3 linked regions of the Ovis aries genome follow. The protein of the gene in region 1 interacts with the protein of each later gene in a pairwise test. Links are inferred from orthologs where the notes say so. Each region holds a gene or a part of one and is shown in the gene's direction. Other genes may lie near its edges. The genes, in order: EPM2A, PPP1R3D and PPP1R3C.

The links.
Region 2: the proteins of EPM2A (region 1) and PPP1R3D interact in a two-hybrid assay, tested with the Homo sapiens proteins (2 studies listed by BioGRID, with this or other methods). The link is inferred for Ovis aries from reciprocal best matches to the Homo sapiens genes EPM2A and PPP1R3D.
Region 3: the proteins of EPM2A (region 1) and PPP1R3C interact in binary tests that used the Homo sapiens proteins (3 or more experiments, as listed by UniProt). The link is inferred for Ovis aries from reciprocal best matches to the Homo sapiens genes EPM2A and PPP1R3C.

What each region holds. Positions count from the first base shown.
Region 1 is NC_056061.1:70,230,436-70,240,241, reverse strand, and holds the start of EPM2A (laforin), read left to right. Parts: upstream 1-3,322; 5' UTR 3,323-3,378; coding exon 3,379-3,676; intron 3,677-9,806. UniProt on the Homo sapiens protein: Plays an important role in preventing glycogen hyperphosphorylation and the formation of insoluble aggregates, via its activity as glycogen phosphatase, and by promoting the ubiquitination of proteins involved in glycogen metabolism via its interaction with the E3 ubiquitin ligase NHLRC1/malin.
Region 2 is NC_056066.1:56,296,032-56,306,033, forward strand, and holds PPP1R3D (protein phosphatase 1 regulatory subunit 3D), read left to right. Parts: upstream 1-4,396; 5' UTR 4,397-4,609; coding exon 4,610-5,509; 3' UTR 5,510-7,826; downstream 7,827-10,002. Other genes in the region: protein FAM217B, read right to left, coding at 1-568. UniProt on the Homo sapiens protein: Seems to act as a glycogen-targeting subunit for PP1. PP1 is essential for cell division, and participates in the regulation of glycogen metabolism, muscle contractility and protein synthesis.
Region 3 is NC_056075.1:13,009,917-13,019,878, reverse strand, and holds PPP1R3C (protein phosphatase 1 regulatory subunit 3C), read left to right. Parts: upstream 1-3,817; 5' UTR 3,818-3,905; coding exon 3,906-3,919; intron 3,920-6,187; coding exon 6,188-7,130; 3' UTR 7,131-8,657; downstream 8,658-9,962.

The sequences.
Region 1 (9,806 bases):
AGTTTCCAGGCTTGGCAGGTCAGCAATTGGACCCATATATGGTAAGCCATACAGCATCTCATATGGGAATAATCCAGTATTCTTATGAGGGGCAGTTCTGATTCTGAGAAGAGTAATTGGGAGGCACTTGGTCCAAGGAAATTTGGTTTCTAACATTAATTATTTGTTTTTCTTCATCCCTACCTACATATACCTTCTGGCTTCCCTTAATTTTTCTAAACTTATATATTTACAATTGTCTAATTTCTGTAATTTCTTAGAAATACCTGGCCAAGTATTAGTTATAAGATGCAATTTTAACATATTTTGGCCAAGAGGATCATCTAAATTCAATCCAGAGTATTTTCTTATTTGGTCTTTTAACCTACTCAGAAATTCAACCAGCCCTTCATCTTTTCCTTGCTTGATGTCAAAGCCCTTAGTAATATTTTGGGATTGGGGAACTGACTCTCTGATCCCTTTTATTATTAGGTCCCTGAGATCTCTCATATGACCCCTATGTTCAGGACTGTTATTATCCCATTGTGGCTTCTTGGTTAGGGAATTTCACTTCAGCTACTAAGGCATTTGGGCTAGCTGGGTATTTCCTTTTCGAATCAGCCGGCCATTGCTGCTCTCCGAATCACTGATCTTTCCTAGCGAGAAAACACAACACCTAAGATAGACATAAGTTCGGCCCATGTAAAAATCTGGGGGCCTAGAAGTTGATCCAGCTGGTCTGCAACCCCAGGTAGATCCTCTAGTAGGGCCTTCAGTTCTTTCTTCAATTCTTGAACCTTGGAGCTGGTAAGGGGGATGTCCACAAATCCAGTTCCCCTTCCTCCTAGGTGAACTTCTTGGAGAAGTAGACGGCCTGAGGTTTCTCTCCTTTTGAGGGGAAGGGTGAACTTTGAATGTCCACTTTACATTGTTTTATCTCCTTCCTCAGTGGAGGAAGGGAGGGGAACAGTGCTGGAGAGGGTGCTGAGGCCATGGTGGCCATCTTGGTTTCCCTCTCTTCTGTTCTTATTTCCTCTTCTACCTGAAGCGGTTCCTGGGCAGTTCAGGCTGTAGGCCTCCTGGGTTATAAGGATGAGGCTAACAGTTGAGAGGATCCCACTTCCTATTTTCCTTCTCCTTTCTTTACCTAGTTCCATCTTTAAGGGGAACAGAACCACTGGCCCCTTTCTCCAACAAAGAACATAATCTATTTCTTCCTGGGCAACTGGACTCCTGTCATTAACAAACTCTATAAGCAATTGGCAGATCCAACCTTCATCTAACCCAAACTTAGGCCAAAATACTGATGGTTTCAACATAGGTTCTTGAGTCCAAATGAAACAGAACCATCTGTTTTTTCCCTTTCCTCCTAGGATTATCTCCCCAATGTTGGAGCATGTGTCCTAGGGGACCATTTAGGCGAATCTAGTTATTGGCCTTTTCCCCCTTGGAATCCTTCTTGCCTAAGGAAGAATTCTTACGACCTTATCCCTATCATCTGATTCTTGGAGGGCATGGCAACCCACTCCAGTATTCTTGCCTGGAGAATTCCACAGACAGAGGAGCCTGGCAGGCTACAGTCCATACGTTGCAAAGTCGGACACGACTGAAGCGAGTTAGCACGCACACATCTCCTCTGATTGTGTGCACTCGACTGGAGGCTCATCACCATCCACCCCCCTTCTTTCTTCAGAGGTTTCTTGCACTCTTTTCCAGTAGCTTCAATTCCAGCTGTTTCCCTTGTAGGAGAAATATCCCCAGAAGAGGTGCTTCTTAGCTACTTGTAGGGGTGGGTAGTTCATTCGATCTCTCCAGGTCATGTGGATCCCCGACGAGCTCCCAAATTGTTGGAAATCTAATCCGACTCGTGCCGGGGAGAATGAGAAAAATACTCTATAACAGTCTGGCGGTCAATCACACTGAGCGGGAAGTCTGCTTCTCTCCGTGTTTATCCCTGACATGCTGTACCTTACTCTGGGAGATTGTGAGGGACCGGGAGTCCTGGCGTGCTGCAGTCCTTGGGACCCTGAAGACTCGCACAGGGCGACTGAACAACAACAATTCGGATTGATGGGAGCGTGGTAGCACAATCCAGCGCGATTGGCTAATTCAATTGAAGCAGCTGCCAAGTGAGGAGGCCGGGAACGAATGAAGCATCTGGGTGGGGGAGGGGCTTCCCTGGTGGCTCAGTTGGTAAAGAATCCGCTTGCGACGCTGGAGACCTACCAACATGTGCAGCTTGGTTACAGGAACTTTCCTAGTTGTTGTTCAGTCGCCCAGTCCTGTCCGACTCTCTGCGACCCCATGGATTGCAGCACGCCAGGCATTTCCATGCCTCATTATCTCTGGACGTTTGCCCAAGGTCATGTCCATCATCGGTCATGCCTCCTCCTCTGATGCCCTCTCCTCCTTCTGCTATCAATCTTTCCCAGCATGGGGGACTTTTCCAATGAGTTGTCTGTTCACTTCAGATGACCAAAATACCAGAGTTTCAGCTTCAGCATCAGTCCTTCCGGTGAATATTCAGTGTTGATCTCTCTCTTGACTGGTTTGATCTTCTTGCTGTCCAAGAGACTTTCAGGAGTCTCATCCAGCACCACAGTTTGAAGGCATTCTGCCTTTGGGTTCTGCCTTCATTATGGTCCAGGTCCAGCTCTTACAACCAAAAGTGACCACTGGGAAGACCACAGCCTTGACTAAACCGGCCTGTGTGGGCAGAATAATGTCTCTACTTTTCCACACACTGTTTGTCATAGCTTTCCTGGCAAGAAGCAATCCTATTCCGATTTCATGGCTACAGTTACCGTCCACACTGATTTCATGGTTACAGTCACAGCCTGCACTGAGTCTGGAGCCCAAGAAGAGGAACTCTGTCACTATTTCCAACCTTTTCCCTTCTATTTGCCATGCAGTACAGGAACTTAAGACTACAAACTGGCATGGGTTTCCTAGGAAGGAAGTTGATTATATTCTTTGATAGAAAAGACCACATTATTCCTATAATCACAGAAATAATTTCGAGTCTTTTGGAAAGGTCACTGGAAACTCTCGGAGTTTATGGGGAGTTTGCTTTCCTAGCCCGTTTTTTTTTTTTTTTTTTTGCTTTCCCCGGGTCCCCAGCCAACCGCGGAGCCGCTAGAAGAGGCCGCGGGTCGGGCGCAGCCTCCTTCTCCCGGCGCGACGGGTCGTGGCCGCAGCGAACCACCTCCCACGGCCAGAGGCCCCGGCCTGGATCAGGCTCGGGCTCCTGGGCCGCGTGATGCAGCCCAAAAAAGGTGCAGCCTCGCACGTGTCCCCGCCCGCGCCCGGGACCCAATCGCCGCGTCCGCCTAGCGCTCGGGCCGCGTCTCCCGGTCGCAGGGACACGGGGCACCCGGAGTCGCGCCGCCCGCCGCCGCCATGCGGTTCCGCTTCGGGGTGGTGGTGTCGCCCGCCGTGGCCGGGGCAGGGCCGGAGCTGCTTGTCGTGGGGTCCCGGCCCGAGCTGGGGCACTGGGAGCCGCGTGGGGCCGTGCGTCTGAGGCCGGCGGGCACGGCGGCGGGCGCGGGCGCGCTGGCGCTGCAGGAGCCGGGCCTGTGGCTCGGGGAGGTGGAGCTGGCGGAGGAGGCGGCGCAGGACGGGGCGGAGCCGGGCCGCGTGGACACGTTCTGGTACAAGTTCCTGAAGCGCGAGCCGGGAGGAGAGCTCTCCTGGGAAGGTACGGGGGCTGCTGTGCCGCCCTGCACCCCGGGGCCCCGGCCTCGGCCTGGGGCGGATTCCACTGTCCCCCCGCGGCTCCCCGGGCGCTCGGCCTGGATCTCGGGCTTTGCCCGCCGCCCGGACTGCCCGGGCGCCCCGGGCTGACCCTGGCCTGGCCGCCCAGCTGTCGCCACCAGCCGGGCGTCCCGCTCCCGACCGATTCCCCTGGTGGAGGCTGTGTTCCCGGTCTGCCGTCAGTTCGGTCTCTACCCCTCCGGCCTCTTTCCCACACACCCGGGACCTGGTGTCTTGCGCCTGCTGCCCAGACGCTCTGGCCTCCGCCCGCCTGGCCCCCCGCATCCTCCCTGAGGCGGGCTCCCTGGGCCCCGCCGCCCCTGGGTTTTGCTCCTCAACTCCGCCGTGACTGTTTTTGTGCCCTCATTTTCCTGCCCCAATCCACTAAAAAATGACCCACCCAGTAAAGCTAGCCTTTTCGCTAATCCTAAACGGCAGCATGCTGCTTAGTGTATTTTATTTTTCTTCTTTTCCATTTGAGACTGAACAAATGGCAAGACGTTGAGCGTTTTCTCTTTTCGAATTTTTTTTCAAAGCCCAGAATATGTGGCTTCCCTAGTGTCTCAGAAGGTAAAGAATCCTCCTGCAGTGCGGGAGAACTGGGTTCGATCCCTGGGTCGGGAAGATCCCCTGGAGGCTGCTGCTGCTGCTAAGTCGCTTCAGTCGTGTCCGGCTCTGTGCGACCCCATAGACGGCAGCCCACCAGGCTCCACCGTCCCTGGGATTCTCCAGGCAAGAACACCGGAGTGGGTTGCCATTTCCTTCTCAAATGCATGACAGTGAAAAGTGAAAGTGAAGTCGCTCAGTTGTGCCCCACTCTTGGCAACCCCATGGACTGCAGCAGCCTACCAAGCTCCACCGTCCATGGGATTTTCCAGGCAAGAGTACTGGAGTGGGGTGCCATTGCCTTCACCGTCCCCTGGAGGAGGGCATATCAACCCACTCAGGTATTCTTGCCTGGAGAATCCCATGGAGAGAGGAGCCTGGCTGGCTACAGCCCAGTTCAGTTCAGTTCAGTCGCTCAGTCGTGTCTGACTCTTTGCGACCCCATGAATCGCAGCAGGCCAGGCCTCCCTGTCCATCACCAACTCCTGGAGTTCACTCAGACCCAACTCCATCGAGTCCATGATGCTATCCAGTCATCTCATCCGCCGTCGTCCCCTTCTCCTCCTGCCCCCAATCCCTCCCAGCATCAGAGTTTTTTCCAATGAGTCAACTCTTCTCATGAGGTGGCCAAAGTAGAGTTTCAGCTTGAGCATCATTCCTTCCAAAGAAATCCCAGGGCTGATCTCCTTCAGAATGGACTGGTTGGATCTCCTTGCTGTCCAAGGAACTCTCAAGAGTCTTCTCCAACACCGCAGTTCAAAAGCATCAATTCTTCGGTGCTCAGCCTTCTTCACAGTCCAACTCTCACATCCATACATGACTACTGGAAAACCATAGCCTTGACCAGATGGACCTTAGTCGGCAAAGTAATATCTCTGCTTTTGAATATGCTATCTAGTTTGGTCATAACTTTTCTTCCAAGGAGTAAGTGTCTTTGAATTTCATGGCTACAGTCACCATCTGCAGTGATTTTGGAGCCCCCAAAAATAAAGTCTGACATTGTTTCCACTGTTTCTCCATCTATTTCCCATGAAGTGGTGGGACCAGATGCTATGATCTTCATTTTCTGAATGTTGAGCTTTAAGCCAACTTTTTCACTCTCCTCTTTCACTTTCATCAAGAGGCATGGGGTCACAAAGAGTCAGACACGACTGAGCAACTAAGCACAGCATAATTTGGCAGTGGAGATATGCTCTGATTTCTTAAAATACAAAACCAATACAAAAATACAAAACCATGTGGTGGCTGGGAAAAAAAAAAGCAAAAACATGTACAAAAGTAAAAACTTGTTTCCTCCACTCACCCTAAGCCCATGTATACCAATATATGAAGTGTGTACTTGTCTCACACACAAGTTGTATAATATCTTCACCTTCTTGCCTTTTCTTGCTCTGCAACATGTTGCAAAAACTTTTTAGTGTTACTCCATGTAGATGTATTTCATTTTCTAAATGGTAATGAAATATTCTGTATCTACCAGTGTGCATTTAGATTGCGTTCCATCTTCTGTTATAAACAGTAACAGCTTAATTGAAAGTCCTTGTATAAAGTTCTCTTTGAGCATTTGGAAATGTCTTTGTAGGGTAGATTCTGAGATGTGAAATTGTTAAGTCAAAGAGTAGCCGTGTTTTACATTTCAGTAGTAGTAGTAGTGTTAGTTGCTCAGTTGTGCCCAACTCTTTGCAACCCCATAGTCTGTAGCCTGCCAGTCTCCTCTGTCCATGGAATTTTTCAGGCAAGAATACTGGAGTGGGTTGTCATTCTCTTCTCCAGGGTATCTTCCCCATCCAGGAACCCAACCCAGGTCTCCTGCATTGTAGGCAGATTCTTTACCATCTGAGCCACCAGGGAATAAGGGTTGCCAAATTATTCTGGTTGCCAAATTATTCCCTGAAAAAGTGATGCCAAGTGTAGACTCCTGCCCGAGTTTGAATTTAGACAGCCCTTTCTTTAAATGAAACGTACAGAGTAGGGGACTGGAGCGTGTGTGGCTCAGTGGTTGTCTAAAGTGGATGAAAGGTCCCTGGGGAAGTTTATATGAAAAAGTGGGCCATTTAGCTCATGCTGCTGCTGCTAAGTGACTTCAGTCATGTCTGCCTCTGTGCGACCCCATAGATGGCAGCCCACTAGGCTCCTCTGACCCTGGGATTCTCCAGGCAAGAACACTGGAGTGGGTTGCCATTTCCTTCTCCAATGCATAACAGTGAAAAGTGAAAGTGAAGTTGCTCAGTTGTGCCCGACTCTTAGCAACCCCATGGACTGCAGCCTACCAGGCTCCTCTGTCCATAGGATTTTCCAGGCAAGAGTACTGGAGTGGCCATAGTGATGTGGAAACAAAGAATCAGCAAAGAGCATGAATGTTCTGTAATATGTTTATATGTTATCCTTGTTCCTCTTTTTGCACCCCACTGAGTTTCATAGTCTGGTACCATTTATTGTCCTTTTGTGTTACCATGACAATTGAAAGGTACTCTCATCGATTATGCCCTTCTTTATAGGATATTCTATTATTAGTAGTATTGCATAGTTATTTTCATAATAAAGTAATATCTGATAATTTTAATAAAAATTAAGATGGTTAAAAACAAAGATCTTCCCTTTTTCCAGTCCTCCTTTTCTATTTTTAGTTTTTCTGAATTCTCCCAAATTCAGATATTTTTCTGAATTTCTTAATGTATCAACTTGAATTTTTCTGTTTTTAGGTTTTTCTGAGAGTTGCCACATGAATTATATGTTACACTTTAAAATTAGACAATGTCTACTGACTGCTGCTATATACCTATAAAATTAATCATCTTACTTGCTGTGAAATATGAGAAATTTAGCTCAGGTTCATTATCTCTCCCCTCCCTGCTGATTTTCATATTATTATTTTACATTATACTCATGTAGTTTACTGTTGACTTTCTATTATGTAGAAATTTCTTCTTTTATGCTTCTTTTATATAGAAAGTTGTATGTGTGCATGCTAAGTCACTTCAGTCGTGTCTGACACTTTTCAGCCCTATAAACTGTGGCCTCCTCCCCAGGCTCCTCTGTCCATGAGATTCTGCAGGCAAGAATACTGGAGTAGGTTGCCTTGCCTTCCTCCAGGGGATCTTCCCTACCCAGGAATAGAACTTGTGTCTCTTATGTCTCCGGAATTGGCAGGCAGATTCTTTACCACCAGCGCCACCTGGGAAGCCCATGTATATATAAAAGATTAAGAAAAATAACACCTGCACACTTCTTTCCTTTTCTTTACTTCGGTTAATCATTGTTTCTATGTTAAGTTCTATATAATTTGTATTTTGTAGTATAATTGTTATTATGCCATTTTGTTTTAGGCTGATAGGTTGATTCAAAGAATTGTAAGTTAACAGACAGCAAAATGAGAAGCAGCATAGCCAGTATTTAAGAGCAGGGATTCTAGAGCCAGAATGTCTAGCTTCACCAACCAGTGTATGACCTTGGGCAAGTCACTTAACTTTACTGTGCTATTGTTAAAAGGACCAAACTAGCTAATAAATCTAAAGAGCTTAGGATAGGACATATAAGTGTTAAATAAGTGTTACTTGTTGTTATTTTTACTATTATGATTGGGAAATAATTATTGCAGAACCAAGTAGTGTAATTGCACTAATTTAAAAGTTTAGAAATATAATTCTGTAACATGAAACCTGTGTACTAGGAGGAAAAGTTCTCTTACACTATAAATCATGCTCAGATTTTATGTAAAATGATATCAGAGTTCATTTTACTTTATATTTGAGTGGCAATGTTTTTTTATACCTTGTTTTAAACTTTCTAGTTACTTTTTAAAAACAGGAACAGCATTTGATCCTCAAAATTTCCTAGTTTAAATGAACTATCTGATGAATGTAAATTCCTCACAGTTTGAAAACATTGTTCCTTGAAGATTTGGGGGGTTTGTTTTAATTTTCACCTATATTGATGTATGTCTTTCTGAGCATAGCTATCTGGGATTTATATTATTGTTGTTGCTTTTACTTGGATTCCTGCGTTAATTGCATTGTTTAGGATTCACATTTTCCACTTTCTTGAATATCTTAGTCCTTTCATTCAATCGTATCCTGAAATAATTTAAAGAAACAGTAACTGAGAGATAAACTACCTGAGTTCTTAAATGCCTGAAAAGGTCTTTATCTTGCTTTCACGTTTGATTAGTCATCTGGTACAGTATTCTAGTCTCAAAATAATGTTTGCTTTGAAGGCACTGCCTCAGTACCTTCTAGCACCAGTTGTAGTTGATAATTCTCACATCAAAGTAAGCCCATTTCTTTGTTGGCACTTTTTTTTTTTTCCTCTTTGAAGCTTAAAAACTTTTCCTTACATTATTTTACCAGGTTGTGTCTCAGTCTTTTGTTGTTGTTGTTCTTGCTGCTGCTGCTGCTAAGTTGCTTCAGTCGTGTCCGACTCTGTGCGACCCCATAGATGGCAGCCAACCAGGCTCCCCCGTCCCTGGGATTCTCCAGGCAAGAACATTGGAGTGGGTTGCCATTTCCTTCTCCAAAGCATGAAAGTGAAAAGTGAAGTCGCTCAGTCGTGTCTGACTCTTAGCGACCCCATGGACTGCAGCCCACCAGGCTCCTCCGTCCATGGGATTTTCCAGGCAAGAGTACTGGAGTGGGGTGCCATGACTTTACAATTGGTTGCCTTTTTCAATTCCAGGAATTATTTTTTTTACTAATGGAAACTTTCTATTGTTTCTATATTTCCCCCTCTCTGTTTTCTCTGTTCTTTGCTCTGACATGTATTACTCATATACTGTGCCTTCTGCTTTTATATGAGTATCTCTTAGCATTTCTCCTGTGTTTTCCATCTTTTGTTTGGATAGATTTCCCTGACTATGTTTCCAGATCACTGTTTTGTTTTTAATACTATCCATCCCATTAGTTACGTCTTATACTGCTACTGCTGCTGCAAGTCGCTTCAGTCGTGTCCGACTCTGTGGGACCCCACAGATGGCAGCCTACTAGGCTGCCCCGTCCCTGGGATTCTCCAGGCAAGAACACTGGAGTGGGTTGCCATTTCCTTCTCCAATGCATGACAGTGAAAAGTGAAAGTGAAGTCGCTCAGTCGTGCCCGACTCTTAGCGACCCCATGGACTGCAGCCTACCAGGCTCCTCTGTCCATGGGATTTTCCAGGCAAGAGAACTGACTTAAAATTTTTTTTTGACAGTCATTTTTAATCTCCCACATTTTTCTGTTATTCTCTGATTTCTTTTTTTTTTTCCCCAGAGCTGGTTTTTCTTCCGGTATGGATAATTTATATTTAAATCTTTCTGAGCATATAATAGAATTGATTGAATTTGTTTTTGTCTTGCATTAACTTTCTGTTCCTTTCCCCATAGCAATATTTTTTTTAATGCTAAAAGTTTTCCTCTAGTGTCTGGTAATCTTTAGGTGACCATTTATTTTTATGAATAAAGGTTATGTTGATTTGTAGAAGCAACTATGCTGGATCC
Region 2 (10,002 bases), on another chromosome or scaffold:
ACTCGAGCTGGACGAGCCTGTCGACGTACTTGCCTAGGAGTCCCCCAGTTTTGGGCACAGCCTCTGTCCTGCGCTCGGAGTGCAGGAGCATGGCCATGTCCCGCAGGTCCCAGGAGTTGCACGGGGGCGGGAGGAAGTCGGGGTAACAGTATTCAGGCCAGGTGGGGCCCTGCCCTGGGTGCAGATCGAAGTGAACCGGGTCAATCTCTTCCGCTCGAAGGTGAAGATCAGGAGGCGTGAGGGGGGATGGGGGGATGGCGATCCTTTCTGAATCAGAGAGGTCACTGGCACTGTCCTCCTCCTCGGCATCTTCTTTGATGATTTTCATGGACTGAAAGTCCAGAAACAACTTGTTCCCTGAGAGCCCCCGATATCTGGGGCCGAGGGGACTCCTTTCGGGGTTTCCTTCTGGGCAAATGCTTTCCTTCAGCTTATCCTCAGTCAGTTGGGGGACACCTCTGAGACTGCTTTTCAGCTGGGAAGAAATGTGGGGGACTTGGGGTTTACTCTGTCTTTTTCTGGAATTCTTGGGATGTTGTACTTTAGTCCGAGATGGGCCTGCATTCATACTGCTGCGAGAAATAAAATTGCAATTCTTAGTCCATGTGACACAAACTGGCCTTCTGATGATTTTAAGAAAGTAATCAAAAGAAGCCTCTAGTTGCACACTTCAGCTATGACAACGGGCTAGAAAATGTGAGGCCTCTAAACTTGCAAATTATAGGACAGTTTTCCACTTGATACTCTACTTAGGAAATAATATTAATATAAAGCAGGTGCCAGAAGTAAATGCATGGATTCATTTTGCATCAAATATTAGCTTCTAAGAAAAACACTAACATTTCGTAAAGTACTTATATTACCATCTTAAACCCATTGTGTGTACTTTGAAAAATATCTCTTGTAGAACACTCAGTCTGTTGTTAATGATGAGCAGTGTTTAATAACACAAACAAATAAAATCCACACCTTTCTTTTATATACCTAGTTTAAATTAAATGTAGACTGGATGTAAAATACACGTTTTACAGAACTTAATCACTGGTTGGTGGTAACTCTGAGCCAGCAAATATCCTAAGGAAAACTGTAGCATATACAACCTACACCTTAAGCCAAAAGCTTATCAAAGTGTCAGCATATCTTTAAATAGAAAACACACTAGGGAAAGCAGTGTTTAGAGGGATAGGAATAAAATCACACAATGCCTTATAACAATATAAATTTTTTAAAAGGCTTAAATGCTACTTTTTTCTTTAAAATTTTATCATTTTAAAAAATTGAAGTATAGTTGATTTTCACTGTTGCGTTAGTTTTTGGTGCACAACAAGGTGATTCACTTATACATACATATACATTCTTTTTTAAAAATATTCTTTCCCACTATGGTTTATCCTAAGATAATTTTTAACACAGCTCCCCCATGCTCTGCAGTAGGGCCTTGTTAATACTGCCCTTTGAGTGGTGGGGAGGCAGATCTCATGAATACTGTACACATTACTAGCACGGCAACTGATTCATCCTCTAATTTATTTCTGAGGCAGCATCTCATCTCAGAGGTGAAGATATTTTCTTTTCTACTTATTTACCAACAACAGTGTACTTTACCAAGATGAATAATACTTCTCAGCAACATCAGTCTGGTGTGGTTTAAAAAAAAAAGGGATGGTAAACATGCTTCGTGGAAACCTCAGAGGTTCATTTGCCGCAGGTCTCTACCACAATAAGCGATTACTTGAAAATGTGCCACCTCTTAATAAACATGGAGGAGGTTAAATTATTGCCAGCAGCATAACATGTGCTCAATAAATGTTGAAAAAAGTGAAGAAATGGATAAAGTAATTGCCATGATTTAGAACTCATAACCGACATTGTTAAAACTTTCCTTTACCTCTAGCTGTCTATGTGCATCCATAAAAGTTATTACTAGTATCCTTTTTATAGAAAAGGAAACATAGAAAGATGATTAGCCAAAATTGTGGATTCTGCTAACAGTGCAAGAATTATGACCTCCTAGAATTTTTACCAACTAGTAATGTTTAAAACCATTTCTGTCAGACAAGAAATATGGTGTATATACTTTTGTCTACAGACATATTTTTCTCCCAGCCACACATATCAATCTGGAGAACATGCTCCCTTTGCAAGATAAAGTAATTACATGAAAAAGTATTTACCTGGTTTTCTGATAAGATTCATTCACCCTATTCCCTTTCTTGAAAAATTCACATGGCTGATCATCATTTAGGGTTGGATAGACTGTCTAAAAAGAAAGACATATAGTTAATAAACACCCTAAACACACACACACACACACGAAACATGAAAAACCAGAACAAATCTAAATGAGATTTTTACTTAAGTTTACATCACCTTTTCTGTAGTGCTGGAAATATTCTTGCTCAATCTGTTGGAAGATGCTGACAGCAGGGGAAGTGGCTTCTTTCCTCCTCTAATATTTGGGCAGGGTGCCTGACCACCGGAACTAGAAGCAACAGAACAGTGTCGCTAAGTACCAACTGCAAACACCCTATCACCCTTATCATGCTGCTTTTCACTTTTTTGTTCTTAAATATTCAAATTGTATAAAAAGTTTGAATGGGGGAATATTGCCTTCTATTTATGGTTTAATCTATTTTGCTTGTTTTTCACAGTGGGTATTAGATACAAGATCACACTACTATAAATGGATTTCATCTCTCTCCCCATACACACACACACACACACACACACAAATGCACATACACACACATGCACATACACACAAAATCTCCTTGGAAATAATTTTTTGAGGACTTCTGTGGGGCTAATTAAGTTTGGCTGTTACTCCAAAGTTCCTGTGTCCATTCATTCATTCCTTCGACAAATAGAGTGCCTAGAAAACAGCAGGGTTAGATACCTATCCTACTCTCATGGAGCTTGAACTCTATTGGAAAGGCCCCCTTTCAGGCCTCCTGCCTTCACTGTCACATCAGTCCATGAAAAATTTATCAGTGTAATACATATCACGCAATGTTCTCTCTCTGTGACATTTTGTCGATTGGTACCACCCAAGGCTGCTTCTCCGCTCTTGAGTGGTCTACTAAAAGTGCCCCATTTGAATGTGAATCTTCTTTCTTCCATAAAATCCCCTGCCTCTGAAAAAATGGAAGAGTTGGGATTATACATTTTTATTTCCCTCCTAAAACTCTGCTCTGTTATTTTTCAAAATAAGCAGGTATGCCATTTTGGTCCCTGTACATATGATGAGAAGGAAAACCACATGCGGGCCCTTACAACCAATGAATGAGACCATAATCAACTGCTCGATTCGTTTCAGATGTAGAAAACATTCTTCATCAACCCCCTTCATTAGTCTGGTTTTCCTGCTGCCTTGTCCCTCTAGATTGTATAGGAACACTCTAGAACTCTCTAGAAAGTGCACTCCATCTTCTCCACTTCATTTCACCTGGCAAGCTTTACACCCTGGGCTATGCTGTTTTCTGGACAAAGTTACTGAGAGCAAAGAGGTGACAGCCTGCACGGTCCCTAAGGATGCTGAAAGCAAGCTCTGGTTTCCCTGAAGGTTCGGGAACAAAGCTAAAAGTCTGGATTCTGCCTACAAAAATGTGTCCCAAGCGCCAGAGACTGTTTAAAGGCAGCCTTATTATTTGTCACAGGGTCTTAACCCTTGTTCTCATATCTTCCTCTCCGGTTTGGAGCCTCTCTGGAGACAGCAGTAGCAGCAGCGCCGCCCCCTCCCCAACCCCCAGGGACAAGGCTAGCGGTCCCCGCAGCAAAGCATTGTGGGTGATGCGGGGACAGGACGCTTCTCGTCTACGCAGCCAGGCTCCCACGGTCTGGCCTAGGGTCCGTGTTGCAGCGCAAACGTCCAGAGAGCTGGCTACCCTCGAGGCTTAAAATGAGCCGGGGACCGGCTCCTGAGCAGGCCGAGTGGTGCGCCCCTCCCCCGCCCGCGTTAGCCCAGAAATCCGGTGACCGCAGCGTGCATGCTCCGGGTCCTCCGCGCGAGCAGACGCCGATCTGGGACCGATCGGCGCGCTGGCCGGCCGGACGCAGACAGACACTGACCAGACCTGTTTCGCGGCCGCGGAGGACACGTGACGCGGGGCAGGGCGGGAGGCAGACGGCTGCGCTGGGCCGCGGGAGTCCGCGCCGGCCGCGTCACGAGGGGCGGGGCGGAGGCTCGCCGGGAAGTTGCTCCGACAAGTCGCGGCCGGGTGAGTAAAGCGCGGCCGGGAAGGGGCCGCTGGGCGGGGCAGCTGGGCGGACACCGCCTTCCCCGCACCCGGAGGAAGCCCGAGGCCGCCGCCACCCCGCGCTCCGCTGCGGCCTCGAGGAGCGTCCGCGCGAGGAAGCGTTCGTCCTGGAAACCAGCTTTTTTTTTTTCCCCCCTGCCCAAAGCGGAAAACCAGGGGGAGGACTCGAGGGACCAGGTGGCGGACGAGGGGAGCGCGAAGCCGGCCTACTGCGTCCTCTGCAGGCGGCGGTTCCAGCGGACCCTCCCCAGGGTCGCTGAGCACGTCTCGGGACACCGGAGGAGCGGACTCAGGGTCGGGAGGGAGGCCGCCCTTCGGTTCCGCCTCCGCATCTCTCGACGGTCGGCCGGGCCATGTCCAGAGGCTCGGGCTCGGCGGTCCTCCCCGCCACCGTTGGGTTCCGGAAGCCCGCCCCGCGGAGCCTCAGCTGCCTCTCTGACCTGGACGGCGGCGCGGCCCGGGAGCCGCGGCCCTGCCGGCCCCCGGGGAGTCCGGGCAGCGCGCCGCCGCCGCCGCCCGCGGCGTCCGGCTGCGACCCCAGCCTACGGCCCATCATCCTGCGGCGGGCGCGCTCGCTGCCCAGCTCGCCCGAGCGCCGCCAGAAGGGCGCGGGCGCTCCGGGTGCTGCGTGCCGACCCGGCTGCAGCCGGCAGCACCGCGTGCGCTTCGCTGACGCGCTGGGCCTGGAGCTGGCGCAGGTCAAGGTGTTCAATGCGGGCGAAGACCCATCCGTGCCGCTGCACGTGCTGTCGCGACTCGCCATCAACTCGGACCTGTGCTGCAGCAGCCAGGACCTGGAGTTCACTCTGCAGTGCCTGGTGCCCGACTTCCCGCCGCCCGTCGAGGCTCCGGACTTTGGCGAGCGCCTGGGGCGCCAGCTCGTGTGCCTGGAGCGTGTCACCTGCTCGGACCTGGGTATCAGCGGCACGGTGCGCGTGCGCAACGTGGCCTTCGAGAAGCAGGTGGCAGTGCGCTACACCTTCTCGGACTGGCGCAGCGCGCACGAGGTGGCAGCGCGGTGGCGCGGGCCGGCAGGCTCCGGGGGCTCCGAGGACGTCTTCGCCTTCGGCTTCCCGGTGCCGCCCTTCCTGCTGGAGCTGGGCTCCCGCGTGCACTTCGCGCTGCGCTACCGTGTGGCCGGAGCCGAGCACTGGGACAACAACGACGGCCGCGACTACAGTCTCACGTGCCGCAACCACGCACTGCACATGCCGCGCGGGGAGTGCGAGGAGAGCTGGATCCACTTTATCTGAGCTTCCTGGCGGGCCTCGTGCGTCTGGGACGTGGCCCTGCCTCACACTCCACCCCCAAGCCGGGGCTGTCGGACCTCGATTCCCGCAGCTGCAAGGTGTGCTCGCTGTGGCACGCCTATGCTTTTACTTGAAATGTCTGGGTCACTTGGTCTAAACCGTGGCCTCCGATGCCAGAAGGCCGGGCTGTCATGTGCTGGGTGGGGTGCTGGGTGAGTAGATGCACGAGTGAGTTGGCCCTATGAAGAAGGCCCAGGCAGGTGGTTTTGGAAAGGCCTGCGCCCTGCAACTGGGAAAGCCTGTGGCTTTTGCATGTGTGATCGCGTCTCTGTGAATATAGCTCTTATTTATCATCACTGCGATGTTGAAACATTTTACCCTTAGCCAGTGCCTTCTTGGGAACATTCTTAATAAGCTTAAAAAAAAAAAAAAGTTCATTCTTGTCTGTTTGTGCCCACTGTAAACAGAATGTATATGCTGTGACCCCCATCATGGTCCCTTGAAGCTTTCCTGCCCTGGGACAAGGAAAACCTGAAGTCACATTTGCATGCCAATGTCTGTAGGCTTCTAACAGCCGGGAAACTATTAATAGGCAAGAAATTGATGCCTCTTCCGTCATCATACAATCCTTCCTGGGAGTTCAGGCTGCCCCATTAGGCTGTGTGTCTCCTCCATCAGCAACTGCCAAGAAGGAAAACATTTAGAACTTTTAGTTAGCAAAACAGCCCCTTCTGCAGTGTTTCTTTGCACTTTATGTATTTTACATGTTTGATAATTGTGTATCTGCACTTTATCAGGCCACTCTGTTTAGGTTTGAGCTACCTAAGTATTTAAAGAAATTCCGCCTTAAGTTATTTCAGTTTTCAGGAAACTGTGGAATTTGGGCAACAATGCCCTTTACAATTACCTTTTTGACGATTATGGTGACTCTTGATGTCTTAAGTGTCCAGGATTCCAGCAATCATCATTCAGAAGTCACATTATCAAGTGGAACTAGCAGGTATTTTCAGCAACAACCAGACTGGAGGGAGAATACACAAATATTTATACATTTTAGTTGTTTTAAGCTGTATTTGTATATGCCTGGTTTTATCAACTACCTGCCAACTTTAATCTTTGTGCCTTCAGATAGATAACTTTGTAGCCTTGTCTGGACTTGTTTTCCAATTTTAAAATGTTAAATGCTTTTTTTTTTTTAACTTTCCAACCAAGAAGTCAAGGCCATTGTCTCCTGCAGAGTGCCACAACAACTTAAAACTCTCAGCGAGGGGCTATTTCTCTTGGTGCTGAGTGGTGGTCTGACAGCAGGTGCTAGCACAGAGGTGTGAAAACCCAGCTAAGGTGGAGGTGGTCTCCAACTTGGGAAGCTGGTTTCCAAGAGCTGAAGCCAGTTCGATAAATCTTGTGATAGCTGTCACCAGTGAATTAACTCTAAATATTTGAATGCTTGTTACCGTTTGTCAAGTAAGTATGCAAAGGATGCATTTTGCCTTTTAACCAATTTCTTTTCTTATAATGGCAACTTCAGTGTTTTTAAAAATTCCAGCAACAAGGATGGCTTTCTTTGGTACCTTCTGGTCTAAGAATATGGAACTCTGATTTAAAACATTGTGACTGAATTGAACAATCACTGGCTGTTAGCACTGTGTACTCCATTGACATGCAAGAGGCAAAGAAGCCTGGTCGCATTTCCTGCTGTTTGACAAACTGTCCAGTTAGGTCAGTAAACCCATGAGGGCCTTGGCCACTATGCCCTGGATCCTAGCCCAGTGTGCAAAGCAGTTGTCCAGGGTGTTCACATATGAGCAGGAGCTGACATATATTGCTATGTAAAGGCATGTGGAGAATCTTATAATCTGTGTAAAGATCATTTTCCAAAAAAGATCTGGTCACAGAATATGTAGTAAATGTTGTATCTTCAATATTAAGAGAACCTCCCTGTGCCTTTGAAAACTTTAAAGCTTAAATATACCTGCCTAGTTAATAAAGCAGCTTTGGGACAGCTTAAGATTTGCAGGCCTGAAAACACAGTGACATAGCCTAGATATTCAAGTTTTGTGTGACCTGTGCAGTTGTTGGGTTATCTCTGCAAACATATTTTAATACAAGCCATTTAAGATAACTTCACCTAAGCCTCACTATTAAAGTATATGTGCACAAGTTGTTGGTTGAAGTGTGTTTTTCTTGTGGCCTGATTAGTGTGAAACAAGGCTTTAGAAATGTGTTGATTAAGACATTTCACATGTCTTATCCTTCCTAGAATGCTGTCATGTTTAGTATCTTGCCAATATAAATAAATGCATTTTATGATGTCACCTGAGCTTCAGCAGCAGTCGTGTGTGTCTTTGAGAAACTGAGATGCATCCTTTTATGCCAGGTCAGTATTACATAGGAAGAAAGCTCTAGGAAAACACATACTTCATCTTATTGCTTATTGAAGCCCATGTAGGAATAACTACTGTGTATCTTCACCCCCCGCCCCCTCCACACACACATCATGGTGACTGTCACTCAATTACAGAGCTTTGAACACAGGGAAAGGAAACCAACTTATGTTCTCTCTTATTTGCTGGCCTACAATGCTAGGTGCTGTATTTGATGTCACTTAATCTTGAAAACTGCACTGTTAGATCAGTTCACTTCAGCCACTGAGTCCTGTCAGACTCTTTCCGACCCCATGAATCAGGCCTCCCTGTCCATCACCAATTCCCGGATCTATCTGGTAGATAATAGCCCCATTTCTCAGCTGAAAAGAATGAAGCTCAGAGAGATTTAAGTAATTCACCTAAAGCTCCACCGCTGGTAAGTAGCAAGGTTAGCATTCAAACCCACTGCAAAGCCCACCTTCTCTCTGCCATGTGAGAAGAGTTTGTTAAATTTAATTGAATGTCCATTCGGATTATGACTGATAAGGTTTTCCATCTAACATAAAGACCTATTTAAAAACAAGTCAAATGAAATTAAATAAAATCAATGATATTTTCTTGCATGTGGTAGTGACATTTACGACATAATCCTTGGATTTTCTGAACAATAAAAAGGGCTCTAAACGTTTTTCTTCTACTAAAAAGTGGCAAGGTGAGGAGTCATTGTTTTTAATTTTTGACCTGCTTGTCTGCTGTAATTTTGAATTCCCTAATTTACACCACAATCATCCATTGCTTTTATCATTTAAACTGATACTTTAAAATTGAAACATTCTAAAATCCCTGGGGAAACACTTCATTCGCTCAGTGCCAAGCCAAGACGGCCTCAGGGCTCTGTCCCCGTCCCCGAGGGGTCTGGGATTCAAGTTAGTGAGAGCACTCATTCGCAGAACCTGCTTCTAGGAAACCTGAGCAGGGCCTGGGCTGGAGACAGGGCCGGGGCGAGGTGGGCGTGGCCTGGGGAGCGGGGCGGAGTGCGGTGGTCAGCGGAGGCTGATCAGGAGTGGTTCTGCTGCCCTCTGCTGGCCCGCAACGTGGGCCTCTTTCAGGGAACTCTAACCACGCGTCCCCGCAGGTTCGTCTAGGGCCCTAGTGTCTCTGCGGTCCCGTCCAGCCTTCCCGGGTGGCTGTGGGGAGCCCGGGGATCTCCTAGGGCCGCTGGCGCTTCTGGCCCTTCAGGTTCACGTCCTGCGAGCAGGGCAGGCCCAGTCGACCCCTCCAGCGCGTCCACACCGCGGGAGGGAAGACAGAGCAGAGGAAGGACGCTGGCGCCTCCTCTCGTGGCGAGGCCGCTGGGCGAGCGGGGTCAGGGGTCGGGGTCTGGCCTGCGCGCGCGCGGCCTCCCACTTACCTGAAGCTCCGAGCCGCGCCTACCTTGGCCCTCCCTTTCCGGCCTTAGGAGGTGCCTGCGCGGGTGCGAGGGGCGGGACCTGTCCGGCGGCAGCGCTGATTGGACGTGGTGCCGAACCGCACGCGAAGCCGATTGGACGGGCGCTTCCCGCCCTCCCTTGGCCGCCTGAGGCGGAGAGGCGACAACGGAGGTTCGGGGACTCGACGCCGGGCTGCAGCGAATCTAGGAGATCCTCGCGGAGGCCTCTTCCAGCCGACAGATTGAGCTGGGTTCCCGGGAGGGCTTCCTTGACGGTGGGGCGCGTTAGGGGAGAGTTGCGGCGTCCGCTGGGCCTCCGGGGGCGGCGGAACTAGCAAGCGGCCCCCTAACCGTTGAGGCGGAGCCGTTGAAGAAACGGTCGCGGTGGCGCAGCCAAGGCTTGGGGTGGGGGCGGCCTCCGGCGGGGCGTCGGGTGGGCGGTGCGGGCCTCGCGCCAAAGAGTCTCGCGGCGTGTGGTCGTGAGGGGCCGGCGGCGGCCTGGACCGCGCTGGTCTTGCTCGGGTAGCTGGTGTCCTGGACGGGTATGGAGCTCAGGGGCGGGGTGCCGCGCGGGCCCGCGGATGACCGCGGACGCGAGCACTGATCAGAATCAGAACACTGATGGTGACGAGAGTGGACACGCGGGTCAGAGTTTCGGAACCGGCGCGGAAGCCCAGACTCTGGTCCCCTCCAGCCCCGAC
Region 3 (9,962 bases), on another chromosome or scaffold:
ATTATACTCCTTCACTTGCTATTGGTGTGCCCAGCCCACGTGGCTAAAGAAGACAGGAGTCAGTGTAAGAGAGAGCTTACTATTCATAGAGTCACGTGAACTGGCTTCTCTCTTCTCTTCAAAATGGAAATCTCAGTTCTTTTCATGAAAATGAGCAGTTCTCAACCTCACTGCCTCTACAGGGCAGGGCTTGAAGATCAGTTACGAGGTTCATCCTGTTACTACTGAGTACTAGCATCTTAATATTAATAACTGTAAAGTATATTCAAGAACTTTCTTCACTGGGCACTGAAAAAAGGGGCAAGTTTGGAGAAAATGAGTTGACTGGCTGGGACTCCCTGTCCCTGTTTCCCGTAGCTGGTAATGTGTTGGACAGATGGTGGAAGAGACACTGTGTATGTCACATATCATCAGCCCCTTGCTTTGTAGGACCTTAAATTGTTCCCTGGGTATTTAATGAGTTTAAATCTGGTTTTCTATAATAAAGATTGTAGCATTCTCAAGGTCAAGGGGCTGTGACTTATGAATCCTTGTAACCCCTGGCATGGCTAGAAGCACTGCACAGATCAAGAAGCCCTCATCAATAGATTCATTGTTTAGACTGGTAGGACAAAGCAATGTTTGGATGCTGTTAAACTGCAGTTGGAGAAAAATTACAAGTAACTATAAAACTTCCCACAATTCCTAATCTACTGTGTCTTTATTGATGCAACTCATGACTAAGAATGCTGATTCCATTCCAGTCCCTCTCATCACAATGAAGAGCAGTAAAACCCTGGAGGGAGATAGAAATGAGGGACCTGATTCTGCTAGTTGAGATAAGTCAGACACAGAAAGACAAATATTCACATATGATCTCATATACATATGGACTATAAAAAAGCAAACCTCATAGAAACAGAGTCAAATGGTGGTTACCAGGGGTTGAGGGTATAGGGAAAATGGGGAGATGGTCAAAGAGTATAAACTTCTAGGAATCTAATTTACCACATGGTTAATAATACTGTATTATTCTACACTTGAAAGCGGCTCAAATGTTCTTACCATAAAGAAGAAATGGTAATTATGTGACTTGATGGAGGTTTTAGCTAGTGCTGTGGTGGTGATCATTTTGCAATACATCAGATTAATACTTTGTATACTCTAAACCTACATAATGTTATATATCACTTACATCTCAGTAAATCTGAGGTGAGGGGAGGGAAGAGAAATGGGAGTCCTGGACCATCCAGTTTAGAAGTTGAGTGTTGACTCTTCTTTGGAGACAGCCCTTATTTTAAAAAATATAAATTTATTTATTTTAATTAGAGGCTAATTACTTTACAATATTGTACTGGTTTTGCCATACATTGACATGGCTTGGGACTGGTGCACTGGGATGACCCAGAGGGATGGGATGGGGAGGGAGGTGGAAGGGGGGTTCAGGATGGGGAACACATGTACACCTGTGGCGGATTCATGTCAATGGAGACAGCCCTGTATCCCTGATTTTTATTTTAAGCTCAGAATAGTGGCTTTTATGGCATCAGTCAGCACCAGGGGGCAGAAGAGAAAGCAGTTTGAATGGAAAGAAGCCCAAACTCAAAAGGACTATGAGTAAATGGTGTAAGCATGTCAAAGCTTCCAACATGGTTCCTAGTACCTAGTAGGTAAGGTATATATGTTAGCTGAATCTGAAAGTCTTAAGTCATTTAATGATGATTTCTCAATTACAGAAAAAGTCCAGGTTTTCTTCACTGTAGAAAAAATAAAAAATACAGAGAAGCAAAATGACAAAAAAGTGAAAAGTGAAAGTTGCTCAGTTTGTTAGTATTAGTGTCTTCAGTCATGTCCAACTCTTTATGACCCCACGGACTGTATAGTGCATGGAATTCTCCAGGCCAGAACACTGAAGTGGGTAGCCATTCCCTTCTCCAGGGTATCTTCCCAATGCAGGGATTGAACCCAGGTCTCCCACACAGCAGGCGGCTTCTTCATCATCTGAGCCACCAGGGAAGCCCACAGAATGAGAAATAAAATTTTAATTATTCATAATATCTCTATTGCCCCAAATTAAGCACTGTTAACGTTTCGGTCGAGTATATTCTCTTTTCCATATATGCATGTCTTACCCCTAAAATGGGATCACAATTTATTTTTCTTATTTCATGTTTCTCTGTAACTGTAATTGGTAATATCCACTCTTTAGCTCAACATAGTGTTGTTGAACACATACCAAGCACTTTGCTGAGTTTTCTCATCTGTACAGTTTCATTTAATCCTCAGAACAATTTCACTATCTCCATTTTACTGATGAGGGAGTTGAAGCTCAAACTTGTCTAGATTTGAAAGTGTCAAACCCAAACAGTGCCCCTTCAGCTAGTTTTGGTTGTTCTGAGAAACTAGAAGATCTGCTTTTAGTTGGATGTTTTCTTTAAAAAATCAAGCCCAAGTGATAAATAACTGCCCCAGTGATAACTCACTTTTTCTTTAACCACACCATTTTAACACTTCTGCTGCTGCTGAACGGTGATTTTAAAGACATAGGGATTTTTGTACATTTTACATTGTATATTCTGTACATTTTTATGGACTGCTGGATAACTAAATTGAGAGCAGAGCAAGGACATGGACTTTATACAAACAATTCCTACTCGACTTAGAAATTTAATTTTATGGTTGTAACTGATGATGGTCTAAAAACTCCCCAAACTAAACAAAATTACAAAACCTCGATGAGAATAACCGGCCTGGGAGAGTCATGAAACTTACAGTGTGATAGTTTAACATTTTGGTTTTCACATCGCTGCCAGAGGACGTCAGAACCCAGATGAGGGATTTGGGTTGACCACTGGCTCTGCGGGCTGACCCACCACATGAGCAAAAGAGGCCTTTTCATTTCTGGCTTTAGTTTTCTCTTCCAGGGAGAAAAGCTGAAGACTAGATTGAAATACAAAGTACCTTTTAATGAAATGCTGCCTCATTGTCTTATAATAGGGCTAACACAGACTGCCGGTGGCTCAGATGGTAAAGAATCTGCCTGCAAAGCAGGAGACCCGGATCAATCTCTGGATCAGGAAGATCCCCTGGAGAAGGGCATGGCAACCCACTCCAGTATTCTTCCCTGGGAAATCCCAAGGACAGAGGAACCTGGCGGGCCACAGTCCATGGGATCTTAAAGAGTCGGACAGGGCTGAAGCATTTAATACGGACTAACACGGTTTATTAACAATATTGGTTAGAGAAGAATGTACTGTGTGGTGCATTTCCGGGTTCACCCTAACCCCAAAATATGCAGTCAACTTCTGATTGCTCAGGGCAAGGAAAGGGAGAAGATAAGCCAATGCACCAAGCAATGAACAAGATAAACATTTCAAAACTATAAATATAAGCACACACACACATCCCCTTCCCCCACCGCCACCCCTCCACGCGTCCCCGGAACGAGCCACAGTGTCCTGCCCTCAGATAACTGTATACAGAAGCCTCGCGAGTGAGACACCTCCCTCCCTGCAGCCCCGCTGTGTTGGCGCTCCGCGCGGGAGGAGGTTTGCTGCTTTCCCTCCTGGCCTGCGCCGGCTACTTGTGCTACGCGGTTGCCTCCACGCCTCCTCGCCCGGGGTTCGCGTTACTCTACCCCGGCCAGCTGGCCCGGGGTCCCAGAGCGCCCCCAGCGCCCGGCGAGCCCTGCACCACGGCAGTCACGTCCCGGCAAGGGCTCGCGCCCCAGCTGAGCGCTGGTTGGTCGCGCCGTCGAGCCCGCGGCCCAGCGATTGGCCGTGGCAGTCGGCTCACGTGGTCCCCCGCAGTTAAGCGGCCTCCCGGGGGCCGCACCCGCGATCTGCCGGAGCTGCGGCCACTCGGGGACTCCCGGGAGACGCGTGCGAACTCTCGCAAACCGCGGAGTGCCGCCGCTCCTCTGCCTGATGAGCTGCACCAGGTAGGTTCCCTGCAGATTCTCCGACCCGGAGCTCAGGGAGCGCGCAGCTGTCGGGAGGCTGGGATGCGTTTTCCTGCTGTCATCCCCGCCCCGGAGACCCCAGGGGAGGGCGGGTTGACAGGCTGCTGAAGAATCTGGCGCTGGGGAGGCCTTGGAGGTGTGAAGATTTGCTCTGAGCATCTTAGGCAGAGCTGATTTCGGTAAACGGCATCTTAAACCAGAAACGTGAGTCAGCTTTAGTTCTGATTCCCTCGTGGATTCTAACCGTATCTCTTGGTCCTGCACAGAGGTCTCAAGGACTCGTGGGAAGAGCACTCAGATTGCTGGCTGTGTAGTTTAGCTTTGGGAAAAACTTAACGATGGACGATGTTCACTTTCCTTGGTCCTCTTTCCTTCTTCTGACGGTTTGCCATAGCAAAGCCAGTCTCGGGAGTTTGAGCAAATGATTATTTTTAAACTCTTCGGCCAGACTTAACATTCCAGGGAAATCGCCGTATCCTGAAACTGTCTTTAGATAAGTGCAAAATGTGAAAATACAGGGCAAACCCCCAAACAAAAAAACCACCCACAAAACTACTTAAATAGCTTCTTTAGACATAACTTAGCAGAAGACGTCTCTAAAATTTCCGCCTGTTAACTATTATTAGACCAATAAATATAGCTTTCTCTCTCATTTGTTTGTTCTAAGTTTGTAGGTCTCCCAGAAAAATCCTAGGGCTAATAAAGTGAATTCTCAGAATATTCTTTTATTACCCATCTTATGATAATGACCATTTGGCTATGTGCTTAGAGCTGCTGGGAAGACAGTTACTAAAGCCGGAACGAGAAATGTCACATACAGTATACACACACTTCTTATCTGAAGGCTAGGGTAGGGGAAAAATGTCCATAAGTTTGGCAATGTATACTCAGGGCTAAAGGCCAGAAAAAATACCTTTCTTGATGGACACTTCATGGTTTAATATTTCTGGGCATAGTTATGTCTAAATTTTAAATAGCTTTATTATCTTTCTAGTTATAAATATCCATTGCCAGAACATTTGAAAATACCAAAAAAGTACAAAGGCAAAAATAGATCACCTATCACCCGGAGATAATTGTTAACTTTTTGTTGTGCTTCCTATTAGACTTTTCAACATTTATAAGTTCATATATGTGTTGTGTGTGTGTATATATATATATATATAAAACACATTTATTGAAACTATCCTATTTTCAGGTTTGGCTTTCCCAGTGACTCAGCGGTAAAGAATCTGCCTGCAATGCAGGAGACACGGGTTCAATCCCAGGGTTGTGAAGATTCCCTGGAGAAGGAAATGACAAACCACTCCAGTATTCTTGCCTGGAAAATCCCATGGACAGAGGAGCCTGGTGGGCTATAGTCCATGGGGTCACAAAAGAGTCTGACATGACTGAGTGACTAAATAATGACAATAATTTTCAGATCATCAGATTTTCCCACTTAAATGTGGAGTTGGCATGGATGTCTTTTTGGGTGAAATACAGATTATGTAAAGATTTTTAAATTCATAAATGGCTGCCTTGCACTTCAGTAGGTTATTTGTGTAAAATGGGGAAGAGCATGGTAATGAAAGTGCAGAGAGAATCCTCTAATTTACTCTTTCTAGTCTTTGGCTCTCAAAACCCTTTGCTGTTTTTATTCTTTCTTTTTAAATGGATTATGGTTCCAGAGAAGTATAATTAATTCAATAGCAAAATCATCAAAGCAGTTGAGGGAGTGCAGTTTGGAACTTTGATTCTAGAACCTGTCTGGTCATTGGCTTACCTGGGAAGCTTTAAGAACATATATACATTCTTGTCTCCATCCCCAGGGGTTCTGCATTAGAGGCTCTAAGTCCAAGGATTCTGCATTGAAAAAAAAGAAATCCAACCCACTAGGCCATGGTGGGGGCTTCCGTGGTGGCTCAAACAGTAAGGAACCTGCCTGAAAACAGACAGGTTTGAGAACTGGTGCTCCAGAACAGAGCAAATGGTTTTAGAGCTGTATTAGAGTTGATCCCATCCAAATCTTTTATTTCTCAGATGGAGAAACTGGGACACCAAGTGTTTTAACCCGTGGCCTATAGCCTGTCAAGGGCAGAGCCAAACGTAAGATGCAGCTTTTATCACCTAATCCTGCATTCCTTTACTTCATGTGAGAGCGCTGTGCTGGCTGTAATAGCCAACAAAAATAGTACAGACCTACTTGGGACCAGGGGAAGTGCATTCTAGGTGCAGATGATAACCCCTCTTCTTTCTGTATTCTAGAATGATCCAGGTCTTAGATCCACGGCCTCTGACAAGTTCAGTCATGCCCGTGGATGTCGCTGTGAGGCTCTGCTTGGCTCATTCCCCACCTCTGAAGAGCTTCCTGAGCCCTTATGATGACTTCCAACGAAGAAATTTTGTGAACAAATTAAAGCCCCTAAAGCCGTGTCTCAACATAAAACAGGAAGCCAGAGCTCAGGACGGCTGGAAGCCTTCACACAACCAAGCCAAGAAGCGGGTGGTGTTTGCGGACTCTAAGGGCCTCTCCCTCACCGCCATCCATGTCTTCTCAGACCTTCCCGAGGAGCCCATGTGGGATCTCCAGTTTGACCTCTTGGACCTGAATGATATCTCCTCAGGCTTAAAGCTCCACGAGGAGAAGAACCTGATTCTGGATTTCCCTCAGCCTTCAGCTGACTACTTAAGTTTTCGGAACCACTTCCAGAAGAACTCTGTCTGCCTGGAGAACTGCTCTTTGCAGGAGCGAACAGTGACGGGGACTGTGAAGGTGAAGAACATGAGCTTTGAGAAGAAGGTTCAGATCCGGATCACTTTTGACTCCTGGCAGAGCTACAACGACGTGGACTGTGCCTACATGAAAAATGTGTACGGTGGCTCGGAGAGTGACACCTTCTCGTTTGCCATTGACCTACCCTCTGTCATCCCCACAAAGGAGAAAATTGAGTTCTGTGTCGCCTACCATGCTAACGGGCAGGTCTTCTGGGACAACAACGAGGGTCAGAATTACAGAATCGTCCATGCACAGTGGAAACCCGATGGGGTGCAGACACAGATGGCAGCCCAGGACTGTGCCTTCCACCAGGCACCACCTGCCAAGGCCGAGCTGGAGTCGACAGTCTTTGGCAGTCCAAGGCTGGCCAGTGGGCTCTTCCCAGAATGGCAGAGCTGGGGGAGGATGGAGAACTTGGCCTCTTACCGATGAATGAAGCAACCTGGTGACCAGTCTTGACCTTATTCCCCATGTAATTCTAGGTCTGTGTTGCTCAATCTTAGGAAGGCGTTGCTACTTTCCTTCAGTAGGTTTAGGTTGGAGCTTTTGAGACCTGGCTACAAAAAAAAGATAGCCCCTTGAGAATTTAGTGTAGGGGTTTGTATGGATGACAGTGCCCAGTGTTGCTGTGGAGGATCAAGTTAAAGCCTGGAACCCTATTTTTGTAAAAGTAATATTCTGTCTATACCCTTTTCTCCTTCCCTCTCAATGCACTGGCTTTCATCTTGGGCAAGGAAAGGTTTGAGGAAGGACAGTGGATGGTGATGGAAAGCTGTGTTAATGGTATGAGGAATGTCTGAAAAGTATACACAAAGGGCTCTGCAGCTCAGGTCAGAGTAGGAGCAGGAGGTCTGATACTTAACCGTTGGTGAGAAAATGAAGGTTATTTTGTTTTTTTAAGTTGGTTTTACAGGTTTCTCCTGGGGAAGTAATTTGTAGGGGGGAGAAAAAGATCCATTCTAGGCATTCTCGTGGAGAAGAACCCAAACAAACTTTAGGGGTATTGGGTGGTTATTGGGGAAAGGTGAATTATAACTCTGGAGAATCAGATTTTTTACATGAAGCCTTTTTGTTCAAACGTGACTCATCAAAAATCATGATCTGGGGAAACCTTAAGCAAATCTGGCTTTGCAGTCCTAGTGGGATAAGTGACCTTACCTGTGGCCCAGGTATTATGCCTGGGTTCTCAGTGTAGATGCTGCCTAACCAAAAAAAAACCATGCCCTCATCATTGGCCAGAAACTGGTAGGAACTCTATGTCATGTCAAGGATCACTCGCTGCAAGTGCCTTGATTAAACCAGAATGTTGTAGTTGCTTAACCCAAGTATCTGAAGGGTCATCTGATAACTCATGAGTGTTTGACCTCATCAGAAGGTCCCCTCTGTTTGCTGGCATTCCTCTTGCGACACTGTTGTATCTTCAAGAGTGTTGTCAGTGTGGGCAACTCACATCCTTCATATTGAAGGTGATTCGTTTTTCTGCCATACTTTATCAATGTGATATTGGAAGTGAAGACTGACACTGATTCTCAATTCAAGAATCCAGTACCTTGCACATAAAAGTAGCCATTTCTTGCCTATATTCTTCTTGTTATTTTAAGTCTTCCTACCAATTTCTTGAAAGTCAACATTTTTTTTTAAATGGATGTGAATTGTTTTGGGTGTGTTGTAATATACTTTGTTTTGGACTGTGCATAAATCCATTCTGTAAGATCTTCAAAACAGGAGCCTCTGAATGTTCACTTCTATCATCACGCACATCCGTTGAAAGGTATTCTGAGAATGCAGTTAATTTTAACACGTGTGATATGCCATGCTGGAAAAGTTATTGGAATAACTCTGCTGTGACAGTATTTGAGGTTTGGCTAGCACCCACAATTTTTCTACTCTAAATATTTCACTCTCCTGTAGCTATCCTCTGTGAACTTCTCACTTTAAAAATAAAAGTGTTTGATATAAGATCTGAGAATGTTTTCCTTCTCAAAGTCCCAGTTAGTTAAATAAGAAACCATCAACTGAGATTCTCCTGTTTTGTTTAACTGAGCAAGGTTAGTTTGGACCAGGAATTGGATCCGCCTGAAGGTATTCCCATGGTCCCAGTCTCATTAGTGAGAATTTCGACCTCCTGACCATTGGGGCTGGGGTCTAGAGGCAGTGACCTGGGCTGTTGCAACTGTCCCCATCTGTGTTGACTGCTCATCACACACTCTCAGTTTTATCTTGGGGGCCACTTCTCAGCTTGAAGTGGGGGAGGGGATGGTGTGAAAAGGGCTGGAGCAGCTGTCTCCTGAGTTCCAGCTCCTTCGTGAAAGGGCAGAGCTTGTGTCGCAGGCAGAGGGCGTCAGTCCCAGACTGAGGGGAGGCTCAGCTCCTCGGGGTAGGAAGCAGCAGGTCCAGGAAACAAAATCTTAGTTCCAGTTCTTGCCTAAAACTCCAGAAAGGGCTTCTGCACAGGGTCTCTTAAGGGGGAATAACCAACGTTCTAGAAAGACCCAATGATGAAAAACAAATTTTATCATAACATCTTCTTCATCAGAAGTTGTGAACCACAGGCTTACAGGCTGTATCTGGCTGCAGACATTTTTTCCTCTTCTAAAGAATGTTTTAAATTATGAAAGTATGATACCACATTTATAGGAGACTTGGAAACTATAGAACCAATTTACATATAGTTCCACTATATATTATAATTATTTTTGAAGTTGATTAACAAAGATTTTTAGTTGGAGTTTCAATATCAAACTCTCAAAAATTAATAGAATGAATATACAGAAAAGTAGAAGGATAAATGGCCCCCCACTCCAGCACTCTTGCCTGGAGAATCCCATGGATGGAGGAGCCTGGTGGGCTGCAGTCCACGAGGTCGCTAAGAGTCGGACACGACTGAGCAACTTCACTTTCACTTTTCACTTTCATGCATTGGAGAAGGAAATGGCAACCCACTCCAGTGTTCTTGCCTGGAGAATCCCAGGGACGGGGGAGCCTGGTACGAGGCCGTCTCTGGGGTCACACAGAGTTGGACACGACTGAAGCAACTTAGCAGCAGCAGCAGCAGGATATAGTATCTCTGAAAATGGCTGCAGATTTTTTCTTTTGGACACAGGCTGATTTTTTGTTTCTCTCTCTCTCTCTTTTTTTAAGAGAGTTTATTGCCAAGAGCAGGCCATCAGCAGGCTACATTAAAAAACCTCTGAATTTCCTTTTAGCTGAAAACATTGCAAGGCCCTTCCTCATGGTGACCGTCCCCTGGAGTTGAGTGCAGCT